2 linked regions of the Macaca fascicularis genome follow. The protein of the gene in region 1 interacts with the protein of each later gene in a biochemical or structural test. Links are inferred from orthologs where the notes say so. Each region holds a gene or a part of one and is shown in the gene's direction. Other genes may lie near its edges.

Evidence for each region.
Region 2: the proteins of PLAU (region 1) and SERPINA5 form a complex in vitro, tested with the Homo sapiens proteins (2 studies listed by BioGRID). The link is inferred for Macaca fascicularis from reciprocal best matches to the Homo sapiens genes PLAU and SERPINA5.

Annotation. Positions count from the first base shown.
Region 1 is NC_088383.1:72,532,544-72,536,501, reverse strand, and holds the start of PLAU (urokinase-type plasminogen activator), read left to right. Parts: upstream 1-1,153; 5' UTR 1,154-1,242; intron 1,243-1,546; 5' UTR 1,547-1,577; coding exon 1,578-1,634; intron 1,635-2,087; coding exon 2,088-2,112; intron 2,113-2,257; coding exon 2,258-2,365; intron 2,366-2,970; coding exon 2,971-3,145; intron 3,146-3,336; coding exon 3,337-3,428; intron 3,429-3,585; coding exon 3,586-3,805; intron 3,806-3,958. UniProt on the Homo sapiens protein: Specifically cleaves the zymogen plasminogen to form the active enzyme plasmin.
Region 2 is NC_088381.1:162,611,386-162,614,902, forward strand, and holds part of SERPINA5 (plasma serine protease inhibitor), read left to right. Parts: exon of another isoform or gene 1-282; intron 283-1,204; 5' UTR 1,205-1,221; coding exon 1,222-1,840; intron 1,841-3,517. UniProt on the Homo sapiens protein: Heparin-dependent serine protease inhibitor acting in body fluids and secretions. Inactivates serine proteases by binding irreversibly to their serine activation site. Involved in the regulation of intravascular and extravascular proteolytic activities.

The DNA of each region.
Region 1 (3,958 bases):
GGAGGACAATTTTATTTGATAAACAATTGTTTCTATCCAAATAGAATAAACAAGGCTCTATGATGAAGTAAAACACTAAATACACATGCATTTAAAAATGTGTAATTATCTTTGGAATGGGCTATACAGGGATGTGTTTTTTAAAATGTAAAGAGTGTAAAAGGACATACAGTGAAAAATAAATCTTCCTCTTATTTTGTCCTCCAGTCTTCCAATTCCTCTACTCAGAGGTGAGAACAGAACTTCCACACCCTCCAGAATCTCCACAGTTAACTGTCTACATGTTTCCATTGTCTTTACTTTTATTCTTGCCCGCACAAATAAATGAACTGTTCATTATGAAAACTTCCCAAAAGACCCATTAACACTTCAATAGGAAGCACCAACAGTTTATGCCGTAGGACTTTGTTCCCACAATCCTGTAACATCATATCAGGACACCTAATCCAATCCTTATCAAGCCCTGTCAAAAACGGACTTTAAATCAAACTGCAAATTTTCAGTAATCTGGTCTTGCCTTTCCTCCTCTCTGATAGCACCATCAAACTCCCTTACTGCCGAAAGCAGTAAGTCCGGCTTTGTTCCATCCACTGGTTGTGTTGGTGATATCTAATCTAGGGACTGCCACTGAACAGAGAGGCGCAGAGGGAGCCCCGGCAGGCAGGGGTTTTTGTGTCTGTGTTTCTGGGAGAGTGTGCCTCCTACATTTGTCGCGTTGATGAAGACTTCACAGCTCCATCAGCTGCGGGCAAGGGGGTCTGAGGCCCTCTTAGGCAAGTTGGGGCCCAGCAGGGAGAGGTTGGAGAAGAACTGATTAGGGGACCCCAGGAGGCTTCAGAGCTGGGCGAGGTAGAGAGTCTCCCGTGCGCCTTCTCTCCTCTCTGCAATTCGGGGACTCCGTGCACTGGGGCGGGCCCCGGGCCAGGTTCATGGGAGGAAGCACGGAGAATTTACAAGCCTCTCAATTCCTCAGTACAGACGCTGTTGGGTCCCCTCCGCTGGAGATCGCGCTGCCCCCAAATCTTTGTGAGCGTTGCGGAAGCACGCGGGGTCCGGGTCGCTGAGCGCTGCAGGGCAGGGGAGGGAGCTGGGCGGGAGAGGGCGGGGCGGCGCCGGGGCGGGCCCTGATATAGAGCAGGCGCCGCGGGTCGCAGGACACCGCGGAGACTGCAGCCCCGGACCCCAGCTCAGGGTCCACCTGTCCCCGCAGCGCCGGCTCGCGCCTTCCTGCCGCAGCCAGCGGTGAGTGTCGCGGTATCGAGATCCCCGGGCCGGATGCGTGGTGGCCCCAGTTCCCGAGCATCTGCCTCTCCAGCTCCGGGCTGCCCCGGCTCCCTGGCGGCTACACGGAGTCACCGCGGCCGCTCCCGGGCGTCCCCCGCGGGTGCCGGTCCAGGCTGCCCGGGAGTCCGGAGCCCAGAGAGGAGAGAGACAGCCGGGGCTGGGGAGCCTGGTCACCGCGGGCACCTCCCTTGCACTGCAGTCGCCAGCCTGGCCCGCCTTCCCGCTCCTTCGCCTCTTGCCCTGACTTCTCTTTCCTTTGCAGAACCGCCGTCTAGCGCCCCGACCTCACCACCATGAGAGCCCTGCTGGCACACCTGCTTCTCTGCGTCCTGGTCGTGAGCGACTCCAAAGTGAGTGCTCCCTTGCTTTGACCGATGCCGCCCGAGGACCTCTGATCAGCACCAGGGGAGAGGAGGGGGCTGCTCAGGGAGCGGGGGTCCTCCGGCTTCCATCCATAGCAGGGCCCCTCCGGCTTCCATCCATAGCAGGGCCAGGCTCTCCCCAGGAAATGGGACAGGGTGGCAGCGGAGGCTTGAGAACCACGGGGGTTGGCACTGACCGGCAAGGGAGGAAGAAGCCGCCGGGACTGCCCCAGCCTGCGGGCATCTGGTAGATGAAGCTTGCTTGGGTCAATCTATTTCTCCTTGCTGGAAACCCATGGTCTTCCATGTGAGAATAGATACGAACAGGGTGAGGCGAGAGGGAAGGAAGAGTGGGTTTTGGGACTGGGTCCAGTTTACCCTCACCCTGGAGTCCCTGGAGCATGGGACCTTTGATGAAGCCTCCTCCCGAATCTCTTCCAGGGCAGCCGTGAACTTCAGGTTCCATGTGAGTATCCACCCCTACAACAATTGACTGTACAGACATCTTGGGAAAGCTTCTGGGGACATCCCCTCCCTACCCCTGCTGCAGGGCTGCCCCAGCCCTTATGGCTTCCACTCCCCCTCGCTTACCCCACCTTTGTTCTCTCCAGCAGACTGTGGCTGTCTAAATGGAGGAACATGTATGTCCAACAAGTACTTCTCCAGCATTCACTGGTGCAACTGCCCAAAGAAGTTCGGAGGGCAGCACTGTGAGATAGGTATGGGGATCTCCACTGCAACTGGGAGTTAGGGGGCACCAAAAATTTGGGGACAGGGAGGGATGGGTGGGAGGCAAGAGCAGGCAGGAGTTAGGAGCTAGAGGTGGGGTGGGTGACATCTTCATCCCTATGTGACAAGCATAAACACACTCCTGTGAAGCAATGGCCACACAAATGTGAGGTGCGGTTGGAAGGAGACCCTGTCCAGTCTTCTGGCAGGTCTGAAACCACATCATCTTTAAAATATCCGTTGGCAGCTGGGCGTGGTGGCTCACACTTGTAATCCCAGCATTTTGGGAGGCCAAGGTGAGTGGATCATTTGAGGTCACGAGTTCAAGACTAGCCTGGCCAACATGGTGTAACCCTGCCTCTACTAAAAATACAAAAATCAGCCCGGCATGGTGGTGGATGTCTGTAGTCCCAGCTGCTTGGGAGGCTGAGGCAGGAGAATCGCTTGAACCTGGGAGGCAGAGGTTGCAGTGAGCTGAGATCACACCACTGCACTCCAGCTGGGCGACAGAGCAAGACTTCGTCTCAAAAACAAAAAAGCTCGTTGGAACGTCCTTCTCTTTCTCACATTCTCTCATCCTCCTGTCCCCTCGTAGATAAGTCAAAAACCTGCTATGAGGGGAATGGTCACTTTTACCGAGGAAAGGCCAGCACTGACACCATGGGCCGGTCCTGCCTGGCCTGGAACTCTGCCACCGTCCTTCAGCAAACATACCATGCCCACAGATCTGATGCTCTTCAGCTGGGCCTGGGGAAGCACAATTACTGCAGGTGAGGTGGGGACAACAAGGACCAAGAGTCCTCCCCACAGCTTCCCAGAAACCTTGTTACCATCCCCTTCTCCCGGAGGGCCGGCCATAGCATGAGAGAAGCGCAGTCTCTGGTTGAGTCTTCCCTGAGGGGAGGAGGCAGGGAAGGCCCTCTGGGTTGGAATGACATCCCCTATCTTTCTGTGTTGTCAGGAACCCAGACAACCGGAGGCGACCCTGGTGCTATGTGCAGGTCGGCCTAAAGCAGCTTGTCCAAGAGTGCATGGTGCAAAACTGTGCAGATGGTGAGCATCACTGACCTGCTGATGACAGTGGGGTGGAAGGGGACAAACTCACATGTCCCCTTATTCCATCACAGGAGGGCTGAGGAGGTGAGGGGTGCCCGAGAGGGATGCTTTCTCCTAACCGCCTCCCCAAGACATCCCTCTGTTTGTCCTCCAGGAAAAAAGCCCTCCTCTCCTCCAGAAGAATTACAGTTTCAGTGTGGCCAAAGGACTCTGAGGCCCCGCTTTAAGATTGTTGGGGGAGAATTCACCACCATCGAGAACCAGCCCTGGTTTGCAGCCATCTACAGGAGGCACCGGGGCGGCTCTGTCACCTACGTGTGTGGAGGCAGCCTCATCAGCCCTTGCTGGGTGGTCAGCGCCACACACTGCTTCATGTACGACCCTGGGGTTTCTCCTCTTTGACTCTTCTGCCCCACCCCAAACACATCCCCTTCTCCTTCCCAGCAAAGGGTTCCGCCTCATTTCTCCCTCGTCTGCCCCTCTCCTTGCAGCCCATGGCCTTGGGGACAAGTCATGCTTTGAGGCCT
Region 2 (3,517 bases), on another chromosome or scaffold:
AAGTGGAGGGAGGAAGAGGAGACTGAAGGCAAAGGCCACGTCAGGAGTGATGGGAGACCCCACAAAGGTCCCCCTGAGAAGCTCTCGAGTCAGAGATGAATGCCTCCTCGTCTAGAAGATGAAGAGATGTCTTTGCCTGCATGGGCTGCCGTCACAAAGTCTCACAGGCTAGGGGGCTTCAACAACAGAAATTTCTTTCTTTACAACTCCGGAAGCTGGAAGTCTGAGGCTTAGGCACCGGCAGGATTTGTTCCTCCCATGGCCCTTCTTCTTGGCTCACAGGTGGCTGCCTTCTCACTGTCTTCACCTGGTCTTCCCTCTGTGCGTGTCTCTCTCCTGATCTCTTTTTAATTTTTGTGTAAGGACATAGTCATACTGGGTTAGGGCCCACTCTAGTGACCTCATCCTAACTCAGTCCCCTCTTTAAAAGCCCTATCTCTAAATATAGTCACATTCTGGGGTATTGAAGGTTAGGACTTCAGCATATGCGTTTTGGGGGGCACAATTCAGCCCAGAACAGGAGGACGGTGGAGATGCTCACATGAAGAGGGCAGGCAGAATTCCCTTAGGAGGAGAAGGTGTCCCTCTGTGAGACAAGGGTGGCATGGAGCAGCCCCTGGGGGAAGGAGAAAGGGACAGTTGGCATCCTGGTATCCTGCCTACCCCGGGGAGGATGCTCACTCCATGTGTGCTGAATGAACAGGGCAAGGCCAGCAGTGCTGATGGCCCCAGGCGCGTAACTGGTCTGAGTTCATAGAAGGACCACAGGGCCCTGCCATGTGCCAAACCAGGACACCAGAGTGAAGGCCAGAAGCTCACATGGAAGCAGCTTAGTTCCCTGGTAACCTCGAGATGCTGATGAGACAAAGCAGAGCAGGGGGAATCCTCTCCCTCCATGTCCCATCCTCCAAAATGTGTCCCTTGATGTGGACGGGCGGGGAGGGTTCCTGCCTTGGCAGCCGGGCCTCTGCCTTCGGTCTGCACCTCCTCTTCCTCCTTCCTCTCCCCATTGTCCCTAAATCTTTGTCCTCGAGCCACTGCCGCCCTGTGTAAACCCTCATCCTCAGTCTCGGGGGTGCCATCCCTTCTCTTTGAAGCTGAATGGACCAAACCCACCCATTGAGTGTTGGGTGGGGACATCTCTGGAAAGTCAGTGCCTGGACCAGCCCCACCCCTCTCTGAGGACACCTTCTTTCCCTTTCAGAACAAAGAACAGCCGCCATGCAGCTCTTCCTCCTCTTGTGCCTGGTGCTTCTCAGCCCTCAGGAGGCCTCCCTTCACCGCCACCACCCCCGGGAGACGAAGAAGAGAGTCAAGGACCTCCATGTAGGTGCCACGGTGGCCCCCAGCAGCAGAAGGGACTTTACGTTCGACCTCTACAGGGCCTTGGCTTCTGCTGCCCCCAGCCAGAACGTCTTCTTCTCCCCTGTGAGCATCTCCGTGAGCCTGGCCATGCTCTCCCTGGGGGCTGGGTCCAGCACAAAGAGGCAGATCCTGGAGGGCCTGGGCCTCGACCTCCAGAAAAGCTCAGAGGAGCAGCTGCACAGAGGCTTTCAGCAGCTCCTGCAGGAGCTCAACCAGCCCCGAGATGGCTTCCAGCTGAGCCTCGGCAATGCCCTTTTCACCGACCTGGTGGTGGACGTGCAGGACACCTTCATGAGTGCCATGAAGACGCTGTACCTGGCAGACTCTTTCCCCACCAACTTTGGGGACTCTGCGGGAGCCCTGAAGCAGATCAATGATTATGTGGCAAAGCAAACGAAGGGCAAGATTGTGGACTTGCTTAAGAACCTCGACAGCAACGCAGTCATGGTCATGGTGAATTACATCTTCTTTAAAGGTAAGGACCTTGGGCCCAAACCTGTGCTTTCTCTGGCTTTTCTGCTGCTTTTTTCTAAAGAATTCCCAATTCCCTCACATACATAAAGGACGGGGAGTAGATTAAGTTATTTTGGGTGCCTGCTGAGAAAAATTAAGTAAACAAGTAGCCAGAGAAGGCAAGATGAGTGCCTTCTCTCTGTGGATGGGGTTAGTGAGCCTAAGATGCTGTTTCCTCCATGGAGGAAGAACTGACTGCTGTCTTTGGACCCCTGGGATCATCTGAAGCCCCAGTTTTCATACAGGCTCTGAAGCATGAACCCATTGTGGCCACCATAACAAAGACACCAACATCTCAGCCACTCAGGGCAGGACACGGACCCCAGAAGGGCTTAGAGGGCATTTCCCAGTCCCCCATATGCCCCAGATCCTGGCCCCTCTGCCCTCATAGAGGCCAAGACTCCCTCAGACAAATGCTTCTTCCTCTGAAATGCCTCCCCTGGACTCCTCAGTAAGAGCTGACCTCTGCTTATCTCCCCGACACTCCTTGTAAGCATTTCTGTTCGCGTCTGCAGCTCCTGCCAGGTGCTGACCCTGAGGAAAGCAAGAGTGGATAGAGAGGAGAAGAGAGGAGAGGAGAGAGTGGGAAGGGTTGGGAAGGAAGGCAAATTGTTAACACCTCCCCTTCCTGTGGTCACAGATCGTATCTTTGGCCATTTGGGTGGCTATAACAAAATACCGTAAACTGGGTGGCTTAGCAACAACAAACATTTATTTCTCATAGTTCTGGAGGCTGAGAAGTCCAGGATCAAGGCACTGGCAGATGCAGTGCCCGTTCCTTGGTTCATGACGGTGTCTTCTCAGTATGTCCTTGCTCGAAGGAGCAAGGCAGCTCTCTGTGGTCTCTTTTGTAAGGACACCGATCCTGTTCATGACAGCTCTACCCCTACGAACTAATCAACTCCCAAAGGCCCCCCGTCCTAATACCACCACCTCAGGGTTAGGTTTCAACATATGAACAATGTGGGGACACACACATTGAGACCGCAGCAGTGAGTGTCGAACTTGGACTCTGAGATTTCCTATCCCCTGGTGCAGGGCGGTCCCCATTACACCAGATTGCTGAGGACAACTGGGAAATAAGCTAAGGACGGTATTGGATGGGGTCTTCCTTTGATAGCAATGAAGAAGTTGGAAACAGGCCAGGCGTGGTGGCTCATGCCTGTAATCCCAACACTTTAGGAGGCCGAGATGGGCAGCTCACCTGAAGTCAGGAGTTCAAGACCAGCCTGGCCAACATAGTGAAACCCCGTCTCTACTTAAAAATTACAGAAATTAGCCAGGCGTGGTGATGGGCGCCTGTAATTCCAGCTACTTGGGAGGCTGAGGCAGGAGAATCGCTTGAACCTGGGAGGTGGGGGCTGTAGAGAGCCAAAATTGTGCCACTGAATTCCAGCCTAGGTTACAGAACGAGACTCCATCTCAAATAAATAAATAAAATAAAATAAAATATAATAAAAAGAAGTTGGAAGCAATCACTTGTAGCATTTTGTTCAGAAGTTTCCATAGGAAGGTAAGAGAAGGGTCATTGAAGACTTCCCAATGGGAAAAAGCATTCGTTTCCAGGATCCATACGAACTTCTCTCTAAAACTTAAATTAAAATATTGGGAAGAAAGTGCAAACAGAGAAGCTCACCCA